Neurospora crassa OR74A: one gene and its partners. The protein of the gene in region 2 interacts with the protein of the main gene of each other region in a pairwise test. Links are inferred from orthologs where the notes say so. Each region holds a gene or a part of one and is shown on either strand. Other genes may lie near its edges.

Region 1 (5,138 bases), on a different chromosome or scaffold from region 2:
CATGAGGCGGTAATGGCAGTTTCATGGTAATTGTGGGTCCCAGGCGCCTATTTTCGGGCTCATCCGTGGAGATATTTAGTCACTGCAGCGTATAGTGTAAAAGAGCATCCCGAACTGCCAAAGTATGCAGTCCTGTGGTTGGTGGTGATGGGAGGCAAGACAGCGAACCTAACGCGACCCGGCCAACCGGCCTGACTTGGCTGACTGGCGATCGAGGGCGGGAGAATCTCCATTGGCGAAAACCCATCTCCGCCCTTTTAGGCAAATGCAACCTTGCAAGAACATTCCTACTTTTTCCAGCTTCTCCCCTTTGATGATCTGATGGGAACTGATTTGCACTCGCACTGCAGGATTTTCCGTGGACAACTGCTGGCCATTGCCGCTCACTGACGGTCACGACTGTGCCGCCGCCTGACAAGCCATCCTTATGGTCTGGTATGCATCGCCACGGTTGCGGTAAACGCTTCGGTGCCTGGGTGCCGGGGTGCCCAAGTCGAAAGCTTGTATGTAGTGCAATGTAAGGCTTCTCGTAACCGAATCAGCCTGAGTGTAAAATTAGCATGTCAAACGGTGCCAAAAAAAAAAAAAAAAAAAAAAAAAAAAAAAAAAAAAAAAAAAAAAAAAAAAAAAAAAAAAAAAAAAAAAAAGGCCCAATAACCAAACCCAACTAGACCGGAAACTGAACGACGTGCTCGGTCTTAAGTCTTACAAAAAGTTTTTGGGCTTTCCATGTATGAAGAATATCAAACTATCATCATATTTTCATTTATAAAAAAAAAATTTCAAAGAAAATATTAGCAACACTACATTTTACACATCTTTCCTGTTACCACTGGGTTGTGTGTTCCTGGAGCACAAGCATTGTAGATCATTCAAACCCAAAAGATCCAATTCACAAATTTGCAAGGCACAGCAAAGGCGGGGAGTGCTCCAGTGCGCGTTCATACGAACAGTCTCGGGAGTAAATGCCAGGCTGACGGCAACTGGGATAACCATTTCATATCCACAGGTGATATGGTCCTGCAGCCCATGATCCAATCGGTCTGAAGACCCAGTGGCCAAACGCCAATGCCCAGGGTGTTACTTTCCGCGGTTTATTGGCCGAATGAAGAATGCCATGTGAGATACATCAAGGCCTGTACGCTTCTTGTACATTGCGAGTACACGGCACTATTCGTCAGGCTTTCAAATGGCCATGGAAAGAGATACAGGCACGTGAAAATGAAATCAAACGAGCTTACGCAGCAAGGGAGACACATTGTTTTGCAAATGCTTTATTTGGGAGAATAAAGGCATTGGGAAGGAGAGGAGGGTAGTGAGGCGTCGCAGTCCGAAAAACGAGCAACCCACGAAAACACTGACCTGTGGTAGATGGCTACTAGGTAGTAGTGCTGATATCGTGTAAGCAAAAAAGAAGGATGACAAAACATGGTTCCAGTGCGTCACTTCCCATTCTCTACCACTGATACTAACTGGGCAAGTCGCTACTTGCCCTTCTTTCCGTCATGGCAATGTCTGAGTTGGAATGGCGCATGGCAAGCGTTCGCTCGACAAAAAATTGCGTTTCACTTGACCCGAGAACTTTGTATCCGCAAGAAGATAGTATTGACTAGCTAAGGCTGGACGTATGAAAGAGCTAGGAAGAGGCGAAGAAGAGTATATGACGAAAGGAGAGGAGGGAAGGCAGGCCAGGTTGAATGGTCTTGCGTAGACGATGAAAGCGTCTTGAGTCCGTTGTTGAACGCCCCATGTTTTGGTTGCAAAAACAGCGACAGCGCAATCACAGGCGACCCAAGTTCCGGAGGCTCTAGCCCGCAAAATCGCGATGTTGTATCACGAAGCTGGCCAAAGCCCCCGCAGCCTCTCTCACGCGTGAGAAAGGCAAACAGACCTTTCACCCATCCCTCCATGTTCCTCACCACGGTTTGATTGTCGATTAAATGATGTCCCACGCATCCTCAGCGGCGTGACAGAACTTGCTGCACGCTACGCTGGCTGACAAGCTATAATTGCTGATGGAAATCTTCTCATCGACATACTCATCCGCAAAGTTATCGGCGCCCTTGGCCATGGCGCCTACAAAGACGCAAATGCTCTCATTCTCGCCCAAAGCGTCGATGTACTCGCGAACGCGCACAACGGGGGCGTCGAAGCTGAGCGTAATCTTGCGGCAGTTGGGAGGCAGGTGGTCCGTAATAGGGTTCTGAATCACCTTCAAGAGCTTTTCCTGTGAGTTGGTTCCCTTGATGGACAGACGATGGAGAAGCTGGACCATGAGACCAGCGAAGCGCTTGAAAGTGCGGGGTATACGGACAGCAGGCGAGACCTCGATCAGGACCCCTTTGGCGGTCTGGATATAGATCTGCAGCCTGCCGGCCTTGTTGACGGGCGAGTCAAGGAGCGTGAGGAGGCACTAGAGTACACAAATGGCGAGTGTCAGTAGCAGTATCCGCATGTTGAATGCAGACTGGGAGTGTTTCCAACCTGGTGAGTAATGTCGGGGCGAGCGTCACTGATATCTCTGTTCATCTTGCGCATGACACCAATGTGCTCATCGCTATTGAGGAGCGAGTATTTTTCCTCTCGCTGCATGCCCATGCGGCCAGAGCCGCCGTGGGACGCCTTGTAGGTCTCGAGACTGGCGTTGGAGAGTACCACGATGAGCCTCTTAGTATCCTTGTCGGTAGGTGGGATGGGCATGTGCTGCTCAGCAACGAGTTGGGGCAGTGCCGGAGGAGGGAGCGACTGGGTGCCTGCCATGGTCACGTCGTGGTTAGACATGTTGAAAACCTGAAGCTCACTCAATAATCGAATAACCAAATGTCCGGGGGCAACGACAGGTAGGAGAAATGGCAGGCGGCGGCGCTGGTAGAAACGGTAGGTTTGATGATAGTTGCTGATATGGTCGTCGTGATGGTGCTAGGGACGGGACGATGGATGATGTGTAGCCAAGAGAACGCAAGAATGGAGACAAGACGGCCTTTCGAGTTTTCGAGCGAAAAAAACGAAATGGCATTGGCCACCATTGGCGATCAGTCAAAAGAGAGTGGGGTACCGAAGTTCCAGGCTTCCCGGGCCCCTCTTTCCGTGTACAGTAGTAGTACGTCTTTGCGGCGTCTTTCCCGTCAGGGTGTTCCCGTCGATTTTTTTGTTTGATTTTTTTTGGTCCTCTGCGCTGCGCATGCGCTATGATGCTTGGCAACAACGGAACCGGGACACACGCAGCAATACAGCTTGGGAACGCTCAAGCCCGCCCCTCAAACCTCCGAAAAACTTCATACCTCGAGCGCCGCAACACCTCGCATTCAGGGCCCAAACCAAAATGATTATCTGACATAGAAGAGATTAAAAGGTCGAGGAGGGTACTTACGAGGCCGCTTGCCAGCACGGGGGTGTTCTGGGGAAGATGATCCGGACGACATGGTGGCAGGGGAGCACGGAGCAAAGACAACGATGGAAAACCAAATGGACCCTTGATGGCAGCAAGATTGAAGCGGAAAAGTTGGAGGAAGAACGAGACGAGAGCCCAGAGCGCGGGTGCGCGGGCGCACGTGCCCTTTTATATGTTCACGAAGCTCGATAACACGACCTGGATAAACCGACTGTGTGGGGCCATACGAACTGAGAGCAGTCAGCCCCTACCCCAAGCTTGGCATTGATATCGCGCGCCGGCAACCATCAGTCCTCACAAGAAAGCATCGTTTGAAATAGTCTCAGTCAGACCCACAACCTCCAAAACCACCCCACCCCACCCGTTTCTGCGGTAGCAGGTCTGAGCCAATTTTGAGCATTTCGGCCGTCAGCCGCTGTAGGACCCAACTATATATTATTATATATTATAAATTCAAGGAAGCTAGTAAAGATAAATAAAAATTACTCTTATATAGAACATTTTATTCTGATTCCAATGGTAGCCTTAGTTCCCTCATACGACTAAAAATCGTCGAAATACAAGGCTTTGAACTTTTGGACTTTTACCCCCTCAAGGCTACATTACTTTAATGGGTGGTCCGAGCTTTATAAAAATGGTACCGTCAGAACCGCCTTCCCAAGGCTTACCCTCTAGGCTAGCCGTTAGCTTCTAGTTCTTCCTTCTACATCATTTTTCATAACGCTTTCAAATATCATCATACTATTATTTACAGAGCGCTCCAATTACCCGTATCAAATAGTAGCTACAATTAAAAATTAATTAACCAAACTAAACCCCTTTCAATTAGAACCTTTAACTAAGTAAACTAATTAATCTTCAAACGGTTCATTAAACCTCTAATCGCAAAGACCCTATATCGCTCAACACCAACCCTGCAATCGCAAACAATAATAACAATCCTTTACTATTATATCTCTAAATCCTTCCCAATCCTTCCCTTATACCTTCTCCCCGCGCTTCCTAATTATACTATACCAATTTACTTGTATTGGTTCGTATTAATTAAAATATTATATTATACTACCCTAATCCGAATACCTACAGACCTCAATATAAAGGGTAACCCCGTCTACCAATTACTCAATTCTTAAACGTATTTCTACTCCTACTTCTTATCTATACTCCTACTAAGTACTTTCTTTATTCTCAATACTATTATTCATTAATAATTGTAATTAAATATACTATAATCTAAAAGCTAATTTCAATACTATAGCTAACTATAATTTAACTAACCCCGGCCTAGCTAATAATCCGCCTAATAATTTATTAATATATAATAATTTATTTTAATAAGAAAATTACTTTACTAATAACTTTAATAACCTAATTAATTATAATAGTACTATCGTCGGATAAACGAACTATCCTTCAACCTATAGTAAATTACCCTTTACTAAATTAATCCAACTACCTCCTAGATTAATAGCTTAGTCTAATAAAATTAAATAATTAAATACAATTAATTCTAAGTAACTAAATTCAATTAAATAAGATTCTCTTGAATTATTCTAATAACTATTAAATTTATTACTACCTCCGTCGCTCTTTCTACTGCCTAAACCTCCATTTCTACCTCCGAAGCTATAACTACTCCCCGCAACCTCTCTAACCAAAATAATTTTCACTATACTAAATAATTTACTAATTATAATTAATAAATCCCCTATAAAACCGGCTTTTATTCTAATAACCCCCAATAACC
Region 2 (3,518 bases):
TAGGTTGTGATGGCTTCAAGCAATATCTACTATCAGCAATATTATCACCATCATCAACCTGGATCATAAGTGACACCTGCAGCGAAAACCGGATTGAAGACTACCTCTACATGCCAAAACCGTCCTATTTGAAAATCATGAGGGCTGGCAGCAGACCAAGCAACATGCATCCTCGTCCGTGTGGACAACAATCACTACTAACCTTTCCAGTCATTACCTCTTCTCTTATGTTCCTGGACAATCAAGTCAAAAGACCAAGACCCCCTGGATTTGCGCCTCCCGCTTTGCCCTCCCGTCCATACGGACGGCACGGCACCACACAGCTAAAGTTTAGAATACTGTAGCGCAGTCAATCCTCACCCCGCTTTTACCCTTCAAGCGAAACGTTCACCAGTCAGCTAAATAACTGACGACCATTCACTGAGCCAGGAAACACAGGAGCTGGACGGCTGAGCATCTCGCTACCGGATTCTATATGGTATGGTCGATCCCAGCCGCATCCATACTAGTTTTGCAGATGCTGTCTACTTCCAACCGCTCGAAAATTGACACTTCACAGCCTCAAGGTCACAGACTCGAAGCGGCGAGACAAGGACAGTGAGGTTTTGTTGAACTGGATTATAAGAGGTTGCACGCCGCCGCACGGTAGGAGAAGCATGGTGGCGGTCATAATTCGCCCGGCAATCGCCCTACTAGTGGTACGGTTCCCGACTCCCGTTGAGTATCCGCGCCTCACTCTGCCGCTAATGGCTTCGCCGTTGACTGCAAGCCAGGGATTGGTTAAGCTGGTCGATCCCAGCTTGGTTGGATATATGTAGAGGCGCAGCAGCAGTAGCAGCAGCCGTCTGTCTATTCGGTCAACAAGAGAGTTGACAATGTCTGATAGCATGAACGTGAGGTGAGGCTGGAACGACATGTCATTAACTGTTCAGCTCAACAGGTCGCAGAAGGCATGATTTCCACCCATATCTGTCCATCTACCTCATTGTGGAAAAATATCGTGGAGTTTTTTGTGTTTCTGGCTCAGCCTTGACCACTCGTCGTTTTCGGATCGTGAATGGCTTCCAACTCGTTAGGATCTCATGGCCACATTGTCTTTCTTTGGCCACTTCCGTTTCCACCCAGTCCCCTCCCCTTTGCCCAAACATTTCGGTCAATGATGTGGGGGCGATTTTTGTTGATACGCGGAAATGGGCACGTTTAGATGTTTCGAAACCCACTAGGTAACTAGTAAACTCACCACGTCAAAACAACACTGCACACAGCCTCAATCTTCCACAGCCCGGCGACCCGCTTTTGAGACCTACTATGCTCTCGGAAAAGGGAGCCGAAAAGTGAACCCTGATGGGATTTCTAGTAGGAAAGAATACATCGTTTTGACAAAGTATCATGTGAGTGACTGCCGAGGAAGAGCCTCATCAGGAGGCCTCTGGGGTGATCATATCCACATGCGCCTCTAAGCGCGCGCTTGAAGAGGCTGTGTATGAGAATACAGTTGGAGTGGACCAGACATATCTGTCTTTTTGGGGGCCGTATCTGTGAGGGCGCCTAGGCTGGAACGGAGTCGAATTGGCTTTTTGATGTGTTATGGGATTTTTTTTCTTGTTTTTCTTTTGTTTTCATTACTTCACCTCCTTCTTCGAGCTTTGACACATGATCGTGGTGATAGTTAGAGGCAGCCAACTGAAACAGCAAGCCGAAATCATCGGTCCTGAACAGCGGGATCACCGATAGTCATCCATGGCTTCAAAGATGCGATCGATGTCAAGATCGCAATGACACATGTCGCCTTGACATCCATTCTTCCAGCCTTCGATCAACTGAGAGGTGCGTGAGGCTCATTTTGCGGCCGCCGGAAACCTGGAGCTGGGGAGACACGGGGACCCTCATAGACGACGGGACGGGAATCTTGATCTTACTCGGAACCAACCGATCGACCCAACTACCAACTGGAGCGGAATCTAGGTCATCAGCTTATGATTCTCTTTGCCTCTTCCCCTCAGAAGAAAAGGCGCGTGCTATTGAGAATGTAGCAAAGGAAAGAGAGAAGAATGAAAAGAGTCGTAGAGTGCCCGACTTCCCCGATGAACACAACACCATCGTCTACGGCGCCTATAGCGTCTAGAAACCACCACAAAGAGATGTGGATTGTCTTTGAAAGTTTACAAAGTTCAGACTGGGCAAAATACATACTGATCAAGCATCCGCCCGGGACCTGAGTACCTGGGAAATACTTTCTCGCCGATTTCGCTGGTTAGGGGTTTTCGGGGTCCAGTGATATTGTTATACGATAACGTGCGGCGGTTGTTAGTTGTTTAGGTCGCTTATATATTGTTCGTAAGTCGTAACTAACTATGTAGTTAGTCGTTGGGCCAGCGCTGGAGGTACAGTATGGGTGGCACGAGGGGGGGAAGTGATTGAAGAACGGCATTGTTTGAATTATAGCCGCGGGACGGACACGCCGACCGAAGGGCAACTCCATACTGCTGTGTTTCCTTGTCTTCAGTCATTTTCTTGTTATTTGTTGTTTGCTTTTTCTTTTCTTTTTCTTCAGATGAGGCTCCGCCATCAATAGCGATAACCGGAATTACATAGTTTCGTTGAAGTGTTGAAAGTTCCAGGTAGGGATGAGTACCATGATGAAATTGGTGGGTTGGGTAAACATCACATGTAAACAACATCAGGAGTAGATAATGTACGTACTGAGGGTTGGCAAATGATGAAATGATCTTAAAACTCCTACTAGTAGATGATATGATAGACATGGTATCTCCAACCCATGATCCAAATATTGCACTTGCACTGAACGCTGATGATGATGTATACATGACAGCAACAACAACGGCACTAACAACAACACGGCCAACCACAAACTTACTCCGACTGCTACCCCCGAACCTTCTAAGAAGTAGCCATTTACCTCTTGTTCTTCTTGAGCCTCGCCGCCTTCTCCCTTGCGTACTCGTTCGCCGCCTGGCCTTCCGATCCCTGGATCTCCGCCACCAAGCGCTTGTACTTCTTCTCGTACGCCTCGTCCTTGGCCTTCTTGACCTTGAGGTTCTCGCGCTGCATGAAGGCCGCGTCCTTGCGGAGCTCCCTGAGTGCGCCCTTGCGCTCCTTCTTGTGTTCGGCCCGCAGCTTGGCCAGCTCGGCGCGCTCGCGGTCTGGGTCGTAGTGCTTGTTGGGGTCAAACGAATCCTCAAACTTGGGCACGTACGTCTTAATGGCGAGCGGCTTGTGGTGGTGCAGCTCGAGTGGCCTGCGGGAAACCTGGGCGAGCTGGAGGAGGCGGGAGATGCTTGTCGTTGCGTCCTTAAGCTGCTTGACGAGGGCTGCAGGGAGCTGGGCGGCGTTGGACTTGGTTGTCAGGTGTTGGAGCACGCGCTGGGCGGGCTGGAAGGTCTCGTAGAATGCGGGGAGTTTGCACCATGTTTCGGAAGCAGTCCTGAGAACGGAGGTGATGGTGCTGATAATGGCAACCTTCAGAGCGGAGTCGTCGCTGGTGGAGCGAGCGCTCT
Region 3 (5,143 bases), on a different chromosome or scaffold from region 2:
TCTTCACTTCTCTCTTCACTTCTCTCTTCACTTCTCTCTTCACTTCTTCTTAATCAACCAAAACCTGAGGTCCGGGGTACAGATAGCCTTGAACAAGGTAGAGGGAACTTTTTCCTTTTTCCTTTTTTTTTGTTTCTTTTTTTTTCCTTTTATTTTTTTTCTTTCTTTTCTTTTCTTTTTTTTTTTTTTTTTTTTTTTTTTTTTTTTTTTTTTTTTTTTTTTTTTTTTTTTTTGATAAAGGGCAAGCTAGTAGTAGGGGTAGGCAATCCCAAATACTAATAAGATGTAATGAAAATGGAGAGTTACCAATTTGGCTGAGGGTGGATAGCTAGACTGATTTTGCATTTTTTCACTTTGTAGACCTGTGGAGGTAGAGGTAGGTACCAAGTTATGAGTCGCTATGATCTGGGCTGAATTGGAGGAAAGATCACACGGAGAATAGTGACGGGTAACAGAAGGAAAGCATGAGGGGAAACAGAGCAATGAGGTTGGAGAGGGCCAGGATTAGTTGTTGTACTGACTCCATAATATTAGGCACACAAGAATCATCTTCGACAATGTTGAACGTGAACAGTTGAGCATTGTATACCGGCTGACGGCCGATGAAAAACAAACTCATGCATAGTTTTTGAACTCCCAATTATGTACCTATTCCATACAAAAGAAAAAGACCTTTACAGATCGCCCTTAGCCAAGACTGCCCACCCGTCCAACCCATCAGGGTATCATCCATCTTCTTCCTACGTCTATCCCTCGTCTAACAACCCGACCTTTAAAGCTTGAAGGCACCACTCGACGTAGGACCCTTCTGCTCCGCGATCTTCTTGCCATCCAACCCAACCGTCTCACCCTTCCGGTTAATAACCTTGACACCGCCCTTCTTGAGCTGGCTCATCGTCTCCTTGCGTTCCTGGGCACCCTTGCTGATGTTCTTGTTCGCATCCAGGCCGCCGGCCTTGCGGATGCGCTCCTTCTCGCGTCTGCGTCTCCTAGCCTTCTCCTCGCGGCTCATCTCCTCCTTGGCAATCGGCAGGCCGCTCTTGGCCACGACCTCGCCCTTCTCGACTGAGTCCTTGCCGGGGGCGTACACCTCCTGGGGCGCGAGCGTGCTCTCGCCACCCGACACACCCTGGGCCGTGGTGGGCATGGCGTCCTCCATGGCGACGGTGGCGACGTCGGTGACAACGCTGATGGTGGGTGCGGCGGGTTTAGGCTTGTAGTGCCAGCTGCTGAGGGCGTCGAGCTTGGCGCAGATGTCCTTCCACATGTTCTTGATCTCGGCCTCGTCGCGCGTGAGCTTCTCGTCCGAAGCGCTGACGTACTCGTCCGGGTTGGCCTTCTTGATGTGCTCCTCCTCGTAGATCTCGGCGAGAGACTGCTTGCCCTTGGTGTCGTCGATCTCAACGAGACCGCGGCGCGCGTTGTTGGGGTTATTGAGGGTGTCAGGACGTCTCCTGAGAACCTCGTCGAACTCGTTGGCAAGAATGCGGCGTTTGATGAGCGCCTCAATCGTCTCGGAAACCTCCTCGGTAATGACGGGGACAGGCTTTCCGACATGCTCAAACTCGAGGTCTTCCTCCAGGAGCGAGTTCATGGGACGAGCTTGCGCGGAAGCCTCACCGGACAGAGTCCAGGCGCGCTTGGCAACTAGCTCAGACTCGAGCCTGCGGATCTCCTCGGCAATCTTGGCTTGTCTGCGCTCGTGGGCGGACCGGCGAGATCTCGGATCACCAGCATCAAGATCCGAGAGCTTATCTTCATCTTCATTCTCCGAGATGTCGTCGAAGAGATCGCGGCGCACATCATTCTCGGCTCTCTCCATATCGGCCTCATCTGGCTGCTCAAGTTTCTTGGGGAAATAGCCTCCTTTCCTTTGGTTGCCGGTCTTCTTCTTTTGAGGTGGCGCGAAGAAGTCCTTGTAGTAAATGTCGTTGGCGGTAAGGTCCATGTCCATACCGAGAACACCATCTGTAAGGCCGAGATCGTCGCCATCGTCCTCGAGCTGCTCCACGTTCTTCTTGCCCTTGAGTTTCTTGGCGTGGGCGGCGGCAGCAGCCTCGAGGGCCTCGTCGTCTTCGGATTCATCGCCCATGTCGACGTCGTCCTCATCCTGGTCTTCGTCCTTCTTCTTGTCGCTCTTGCCCTTCTTTGATTTTGGCTTTGTCGCGAAAGGATCGGCGTGCCAGTCTAGCTGTTCGTCGTCGCTGTCGGCATCGACGTTGGGGTCCGCACGGGCATCCGCGTCCTCCCACAACTGTGTCTGCCGGTTGAAGTCGTCTATTGAGAAGAAGCCGTCGTTGAGGCCGTTGGGATCCTCGACAAGTTCTGGCGCATCCTCTTCCTCTTCTTCTTCTTCTTCTTCTTCTTCTTCTTCCTCCTCCTCCTCATCAAACTCTCCTTCTCCATCTTCGTCCGAGAATTCAACCTCTTCGCCATCGATCTCGATTTCTTCATCGTCGTCGATCTGGCTGCCCTCTTCTCCTTCTAATTCTTCTTCGTCATCCTCCTCATCCTCTTCTCCTTCAGAGCCAGAACCAGATTCGCTATCAGCATCCTCCTCATCGTCCTCCTCCTCCTCATCAGAACCAAGCTCAAACCCATCCTCTCCAAACTCAATGGTCTTCTCTTGTTCCTCGCCGGTGCCCACAATCCCGTTCTCCTCCAGCTCCTTCAGCACATCGCCAGCCTCCTTTGTGGCGCTGGCAATGATCTTCTTGGCCTGCTGCCAAATCTGCTCCGTCTCGAAGCCGTCGTCGACGTGCAGCTTGCGAATCTTGAGCACGGCATTCTTGTCATAGCCAGCCTCACGCTTGCGCTTCTTTCCACCGATGGTGGCCGCGATCTCTTTCAGCTTTGCCTGCTGGTGGTCACTGACCTGCGAGGCGAGCGCGTCGAGGGTCTCCTTGGCGAGCAGGAGGGATCCGGCGGGAAGGGTCGAGGGCGGCTGCAGGAAGACGTGGCGGTTGGACTCGTCGGCCAGGGCCGAGAGGAAGGAGGCGACGACGGGGTTGTTGGCAATTGTCGAAGGAGAGGTGCTGCCGCTCGACGATGCGGCGAGGGTAGCGGCCATGACGCTGTTGTGTGTGGAGGGGTCGTGGGTGATTGTTTGGGATGTCGAGGTTACGGAAGAGGTTATGCTGCCAGCTGCCATGTCTGTTTTTTAGGTAGGGTTGGACTAATGCTGTAAGAAGATCAATCAAGGCTAGGGTATCGAGGCTGGCCTTGTCATACAAGTGTCTGACTTGAGGGTTCAATATGGACGCTTGACTAAGAAATGGCAGGGCGTCGGTGTTTGCCGTTGCCCGTACCAAAACAAAAAAAAGTTCGACCTGACGATGTTTGGTTGCCAGCCGGCGATATTGATGGACCAAAATTTTTTCTGCCATAGCGCTCTCCAAGGTCCAGGAAACGGCGAAGCGTGGAGGCAGGCGTCCCCGCACCAGCTTATGGGGCTGGCTGTGAATTGACCAATGATGGGTGATTCTGCTCTCTGGAAATGGAAGTAGGTCCCACTTCTCTTGTTGTTAAGCTTCAGGGCGGTGCACCGCTATAAGACGAGGTTGCCTTAACACTTATAATCGGATGACAATGTCAAGTAAACAAACCACAAAGTGCATGCAGTCTCAAAGGAGATGCTCGACATCAAGCTTGAGAGAGGGGATGAATTCACAATGACCTTTTTTTAAATATAGCATACGCTAGCGAGTTACTCTGAAGTTACTGGAAACTCAGTAAGCAATCACGCAACGATCTCCAGTGCTGTTGGATAGGTGAAGTCGCCGTTTCGACACAGGCACCTAGCTTGTTATCAGCACTTCCTTATCTAAAATTCCAGACTACCCTATCAATCCCATCAGCTCGTACATAGTCTATTGTATCTTTCGCCGCTTCACTTTCGTCGTAACTGGAAGTTTCTTGTCAAACGGTAAAAGGTAATTAAATTGTGCAAGAACTGTAAAATGTTAAACCAACGATTAACCCCATTGAGGAAGAGCGCTAGGTTTGCCTCATACTAGCTACATTACAGTATGCTTCTCGTGTTCTTTTCAACATCGTAATGAGATCTCTGCGACAGACGTTGATGGACTATTTTCTGTAGAGGTAGGCTACTTACCCAGCCGGCTCTTCTTCATGGTCTGGATAACGTGCAGAGAAAGCTCTTATTACATAGTAGAAATGTAAGGGTGTTATTTGCGCACCTTCGGGGAAAGATGCTGCAAGTCATAACACTTGTTGAAGTTCCTTCACAAGCCACATCCCTATGCATATGGTATCGCCCGTGAGAATTTTGACGGACCATGAGGTATTCTTTCAAAATACGACAGCAGCGTTGACGTGCTGCATTAGGGTCTGGACCGTCTAAGCCTTCATTGAATGCAACTCGCGGGAGAGTGTCCCGCCGAGCCGAGCTGCGAGTGATACTCAAGACCTTCGTATCCCAGGCCAGGGAATTGTATCATGTTCTTTAGCGGTTGCCGAGGTCAATGTGAGGGCGATGGTGGCTTTGGTGATCCCAGCCTCTATGGTCGTGCGTTGCGTGCTCTCAATATGACCTCTTTTTCATGTTCGCCGGGAAATAACTGTGAACCTCACGGTGAAGATGTTTGCTATGTAACCACTAACTTGCTGTCGTGAACGGCGAGGATCCCATCAAGTGTCAGTGGCCTCCTGTATAGTACGACACATGAACTTGATCGCTAAGTGGCGTTGCTCGGTCCAATCGCATCACACCATCTATCTCTGCTACCTACCTAGAGTAGAATGGCCAAGTTAACGGCAACATTTCCAAAGTCGTACAGGAGGTCGCGAGAGAAGTTTCGGTTGGCTCACACTATGTAACTGCCAATCGCACACTGTTTGGTTACAGAGCTGGAAGATACGTCGAGATGGAGGGACGGGAAATACTTTTGAGTTGCCGGATGTTACCTAATTTGTCAAGCGAAGGAGATCTCCTTGTGAAAATCCGGACGGGCCGATTCATTCTTTTCTATTTTCCATATCCGCCTCCCTTCTGGCAGGCTCTATGTGAGGGTGAGAGGAGAAACTGCATCCCACAACAGGTCTTCACAACACGACTTGTCAAGAGCACCTGTCCGTCGCCCCACCCCATCTATGCTGTTGGGAGCCGTCTTGCAGCTGTACC
Region 4 (5,223 bases), on a different chromosome or scaffold from region 2:
TAAAAGGATGCCCCTTTTCCCTCGCCCACTTCACAATCGTTGAGTTCATCCCCCTCAACACGAAGAAGTAGATGATCGGTATGAGCCACCCCATCAACGTGTCCAGCACCCAGTTGTTCCTCGGCGACCCGCCCATGATCCCGCACTGCATCAGCCTTCCCAGGAATGACACATCGACAAAATACTTGCCAGCCTCCAGCCCGGCAATCGCCCTCCTTGCTACCGTATCCGGGCTTTCCGCTGGCTCGTCCTTTTCCAGCTCCACCGTGATGTCCGGCTTCGTCTGATTTTCCCTCTCGTAGCCCGGTGATACAATCGTGCCGGGATACACAATGTGCACCTTGACCGGGTTATCTGGGTAGTAATTGACCTCCATCGCCAGGGTATCCGCCAGTCCTCTCAGCGCCCATTTGGTTGGGGTGTACGGGCCATAGCCCAAAATCGCAAAAAGCGCCAACATTGACGCGGTAAATACCAAGTGCTTCGGCTCTCCGTTGGGTCCCGTGCTGTTTTCGGGTGCCAGCCACTCCCTCAAAATCGCCCGCGACATCTCCGCCGACCCAAAGTAGTTGACGTCCATGTTGCGGCGTGCGGCCGCCATGCTGCCATCGTCGGTCCACAGCAGAGGCGTCGACATGCCGGCCACGCACCAGACGATGTCCGGGGAGCGCCCGCCATTCCAGGCGATAGCTTCGGCGAGGACCGCGGCGGCGTAGTCGTGCTCGGAAACGTCGGCTGAGATGTAAGTGAAGCGTTGTGTGGACGGGTTCTTGGCGGCGGCGCGGACGTCGACGAGGGCTTCTTCAAGGCGCCCGACGTTGCGCGAGACGAGGATGACATTGGCGCCCTTTTGCGAAAGTTGGATGGCCGCTGAGCGGCCCATGCCTTCGGAGGCGCCGGTTAGGAGGACGGTCTGGTAACAGGGGTTGAGTTAGTGTTGTTTGGAGGTCGGGTCAGGTCGGGTGAGGCTTCGGGGCGCATACCCGGCCCTCGACTGGCATGTGGTTTTTGGAGCTGAAGAGACCCATTGTAGCAAATATGCCAATGGCCGCGACGACGGCTGCAACTGGGAGAGACCAGGAGGTGCTGAGGGTTTTCAATTGTTCCATCAGCGACTCTGAGAAGAGATAATGGTTCATCCTTCCTTGGATCGTGAAAGAAGATCGGGCTCGAGGAAAGTGGAATTGTTGACGCGGCGGCGCCTAAGCTATTCTGTATACGTCTAGAGTACGAACGAGTACCTCTACGGCGTAAATTTAGTGGATGCTGTCAGCAGTTCCCGTCGTACTGGAGCTTACACCCCTGTCTGTAAGTGACTTGTTGATGGGTGATGATTCGACCGATTTCTTCGCACTCCGTAGGAAAATGAGGTTTCTGGAACCATTTGCTGGAGTTTGCGTTTTCGAGTCTTCAGAAGCGGTTTTCTCTACTGTCATAACTGAACCCATTGAGGTCATGTCAACGTAAATCTGGCAGGCCTGGGGGGCATCTTGGAGCTTCCCGTCGACCCTGAGGACGGGATGGAAGCTTTGACCATTTCAGATGTAACTGTGGAGCATCTTCAATTGTGGGGTTAGGCAGCCTGCATGAGAGTGGAGCTGGGCGGTCGAGGTTCCGCTGAGAATGGATCGCAAATTGACAAGAGCAAAAAAATTCTGCCGCTTCAACATTTGTTGCCCGCCTAGCGAACGAACCCACCAGCCCATTCAACGAGCATCTCCAAGTGCCTTTTGGCAGCGTCTTCACGTCAACGTTTCTCAGTCGCGCCAAACTCCATCCAACACGCCTGAATAGATAACCGCGACACAAACGCAAAAATGGCGAAGAAGAGAAAAGCCCCGAGACCGACCGGTCCCGCCGAGCCTCGCGAGGTCGATGCCAAGGACGCCCGCCTTACCGTTAAGACTTACAAAGATGTCGCCAACTCCGAAGACGAATACTGGGAGAACCAGGATCGCATCGACTTTGACGACAGCGATGATGGCAGACAATCCAAGCGCAGGCGCCAAGACAAGGAGGAGGAGTTCCTAGAGGCTTCTGACGAGGAGGTTTTCGAGGAGGACGAATCCGATGAGGAGAGCGAACACGAAGACGCCGCGCCCGCGAAGGGCAAGAAGGTCAAGACAACAGTACTTTCCGACGAAGAGATGGGTGGTGAAGAGGAGGAAGAAGGTGACGAAGGATGGTGGGGTTCCTCCAGAAAGGACTACTACAATGCCGACCAGATCGAGACCGAGGCCGATGCCTTGGAGGAAGAGGCTGAGGCAAAGAGGCTCCAGGCCAAGAAGTTGGCCAAAATGTCCGAGGCCGATTTCGCGTTTGACGAGAGCGAATGGCTAGGAACCAAGGAGGAGGCCGAGGGAGAGGAGGATGTCATTACCGAGAAACTCAACGAGATCGAAGTCACAGAGGACATGGGGCCGGAAGAAAGATACAAGCTTCTACAGAGCCGATATCCCGAGTTTGACTACCTGGCGCAGGAGTTTAGGGAGCTGCAGCCGATTCTCACAACTCTTCAAAAAGAGGCCGAGGGCAAGCCTGCCAAGTCTCTGGAGATGGTCAAGTTCTGGACTCTTGGGTGTTACATCGCTTCACTCGCCAGTTATTTCGCTATCCTGACTTCGCCAGCAAGAGACAGCCAAGGTGTGTCCAAGACGATCAGCCCTACGGAACTCAGGGACCACGAGGTTATGGGCACGTTAATGAGCTGTCGCGAGGCCTGGCTTAAGGTCAAGGAACTCAAGCCGCTCAAGAGCGTCTCCTCGACCAGCGGCATGCTTTCGCCACCCGAAGATGAGGGCGAGTATGATGACCTGTCTGACGACGATATGGAGGACTTCAAGAAGATGCTCAAGAAGAGCAAGCGCGAATCCAAGGCTGAGCTCAAGGCCAAGGCGAAGAAGGAGGCCGAGAAGGCCAAGAAGGCCAGGGCTGTCGAGCAGTCTCTTGCCGATCTCTCCAGTTTGCTTGAAACCACCAAGACGGCAACCAAGGCCAGCAAGAAGTCTGTCAAGGTCGACAAGCGCGATGACGATGAGCGCTCCGACTTTGGTGACGAGGAGATCCTTGAAGCTCACGTGGCCAAGGAGAAGGCTGCTCGCAAGAAGAGTCTCAAATTCTACACCTCCCAGATTGTGTCCAAGTCCGCCAAGCGTGCGGATGCGGGTCGCAACGCCGGTGGTGATGACGATCTTCCCTACCGTGAGAGATTTGTAAGTCGGCCATTGCCTAAAAAACATGCCGTGTTGTCATATACTGACTTTTGCGCAGAGAGACAGGCAAGCACGGCTCAACGCCGAGGCCGAGAAGCGCGGCAAGAAAGACAGCAAGCACGGCGCCGTGCTGGGCGAGGGCGACAGCGACGACGAGGACAAGGCCGTTGCCAAGCAGGTGCGCGGAGAGGAGGACGAGTACTACGACATGGTGGCGCACAACGCGGCCAAGAAGAAGGAGGACAAGGCGGCCAAGTACGAGGCTTTGGCGGCTGCCAAGGGCGCCCGGGTCGTGGAGGAGACGACGATCGGCCCCGACGGCAAGCGCCAAATCAACTACCAGATCCAGAAGAACAAGGGCCTCACGCCGCATCGCAAGAAGGAGAACCGCAACCCGCGTGTCAAGAAGAGGATGAAGTACGCGGAGAAGCAGAAGAAGCTCAAGAGCGTCAAGGCCGTGTACAAGGGCGGCGAGGGCAAGGGCGGGTACCAGGGAGAACTGTCGGGTATCAAGACCGGCTTGGTCAAGAGTATCAAGCTTTCTTGATAGGGCTCTGGTTGTCGTGGTTGTTGGACTGGTTTGTAGTACTCTGGGTATATCATGCATGTATAGATTTTTGGGTTGTTGATAATCATGGCCTCAACGGAAATGGAAAAAAGCAGGCTTGCACACACAATGGCATTGTATTTCTTGAACACACTTGATACCTCTTCAAGATCTACAATATCTACAATGTCCAGTATTCTCAACACCGGAGGTCGCCGGTACTCGCACCCTGTTCAATCGTGTTAGTACAGGTTCATGGTAAACCCCGGGTCTGAGAATAGGGCTATATAAGAATCCCTCTCATTTTTTTTCTTTTTCTTTTCCATCCCAATTTTTAGTTCCTCTTCGTTTCTGTGCCCTTCCCTGGCATTTCTTGTGTGCCAGATTCCGAAAGAGCGAAGGCGATGTTGACTTGGAAAGGATACAAGGCCTGCGAGGGAGCCAATAGGAGCTCTGAGACGAATCAATGCAAATGCCCAAATCTCAACTTTGGATAAATGTAACACCACCACATGATAAATTATTAGATTGGGCAGTTTCTGAACAAACACAACATCCTAAACCGAACACTTCAATTTCGTTATCTTCAGTACAGGTATCTTCAACACGGATCGTTCAAGAAGTAGAGGTAATTTTTGGGATGAAACACTGGAATGTTAGAGCAATGATTAGGACATGCCACATTATTTTTTTCCAGTCCACCATGACTTCTTAAACCCACCAGGCAAAAGGAAGAGTTCCAAACCAACAGTCTGTTTTCGGTCTATCCAGAAACCCAGGTTTCCCTCGAAGGGTTCTCATGCTGTTGTTGGATGTTGTTGTACTAGGGTTTCACCTAGCGGTTGACGTACCCCACAAGATCCACCTACAGCCCGGGACGCTTGAGCCGCCTGAGACGTGCATGCTTTTAAGGGCTCTTTTGCCGCCGCCGAGGATGCATTACACGTATCTTGCAGCCAGGCGGGTCAACCTTGGGTCTTGGGGGAACCGGTTTGCGGATGAAGAGGCAAAGGATTTAAAACTAGTCATGCGACCATCAGACTTTTCACCATGTATGACTCGAATCGGATTGTAATCAGGTCGACTCTTTCCTTTGTTCAGCCTTTTTTGTTGACTTTGCATTTTGCATCGTTATCTTGAGCCTCACTTCAGTGTGTACTCTGTAACTCTTTGACCGACCGCTCATGAATCCTCAGGGCGGCTCTCAATTGAAGTGACGTATCTCCTGTCTACCAAACCCACAAAACAAGGACACAACAACAAAGAGCGAGGTGAACTGGGCATCCAAGTTCCAACGAATCTTGGGGGCAAACAACTCAATCGATAAGGCGGGAGAGTAAAGCGCATCAACAAAAACGCTTTCATTCAACCATCGCATCCTTCCTCACGCTTAAACCCACAAGTATTCTCAACCTGTACCTATCAAGAGACGGTTGCACAAAACAGTGAGACAGCATTACACGC

The links. The genes of interacting proteins can lie anywhere in the genome.
Region 1: the proteins of NCU07393 (region 2) and NCU02428 interact in binary tests that used the Saccharomyces cerevisiae proteins (3 or more experiments, as listed by UniProt). The link is inferred for Neurospora crassa OR74A from reciprocal best matches to the Saccharomyces cerevisiae genes NOP14 and EMG1.
Region 3: the proteins of NCU07393 (region 2) and NCU03952 interact in binary tests that used the Saccharomyces cerevisiae proteins (3 or more experiments, as listed by UniProt). The link is inferred for Neurospora crassa OR74A from reciprocal best matches to the Saccharomyces cerevisiae genes NOP14 and MPP10.
Region 4: the proteins of NCU07393 (region 2) and NCU00301 interact in binary tests that used the Saccharomyces cerevisiae proteins (3 or more experiments, as listed by UniProt). The link is inferred for Neurospora crassa OR74A from reciprocal best matches to the Saccharomyces cerevisiae genes NOP14 and SAS10.

The regions. Positions count from the first base shown.
Region 1 is NC_026507.1:2,520,366-2,525,503, forward strand, and holds NCU02428 (nucleolar essential protein 1), read right to left. Parts: upstream 3,505-5,138; 5' UTR 3,423-3,504; coding exon 3,371-3,422; exon of another isoform or gene 2,782-3,370; coding exon of another isoform or gene 2,754-2,781; coding exon 2,485-2,753; intron 2,414-2,484; coding exon 1,937-2,413; 3' UTR 1,261-1,936; downstream 1-1,260. UniProt on the Saccharomyces cerevisiae protein: S-adenosyl-L-methionine-dependent pseudouridine N(1)-methyltransferase that methylates pseudouridine at position 1189 (Psi1189) in 18S rRNA.
Region 2 is NC_026501.1:6,090,050-6,093,567, reverse strand, and holds the end of NCU07393 (rRNA maturation protein), read right to left. Parts: coding exon 2,917-3,518; 3' UTR 1,170-2,916; downstream 1-1,169. UniProt on the Saccharomyces cerevisiae protein: Involved in nucleolar processing of pre-18S ribosomal RNA. Has a role in the nuclear export of 40S pre-ribosomal subunit to the cytoplasm.
Region 3 is NC_026506.1:2,220,790-2,225,932, reverse strand, and holds NCU03952 (U3 small nucleolar ribonucleoprotein Mpp10), read right to left. Parts: upstream 3,561-5,143; 5' UTR 3,152-3,560; coding exon 773-3,151; 3' UTR 320-772; downstream 1-319. UniProt on the Saccharomyces cerevisiae protein: Involved in nucleolar processing of pre-18S ribosomal RNA. Required for the early cleavages at sites A0, A1 and A2 during 18S ribosomal pre-RNA processing.
Region 4 is NC_026503.1:3,361,901-3,367,123, reverse strand, and holds NCU00301 (Sas10/Utp3 family protein), read left to right. Parts: upstream 1-1,668; 5' UTR 1,669-1,817; coding exon 1,818-3,212; intron 3,213-3,270; coding exon 3,271-3,759; 3' UTR 3,760-3,963; downstream 3,964-5,223. Other genes in the region: NCU00302 (3-ketodihydrosphingosine reductase tsc-10), read right to left, coding at 1-913, 984-1,139. UniProt on the Saccharomyces cerevisiae protein: Primarily required at the G2/M phase. Essential for viability: involved in nucleolar processing of pre-18S ribosomal RNA as part of the ribosomal small subunit (SSU) processome.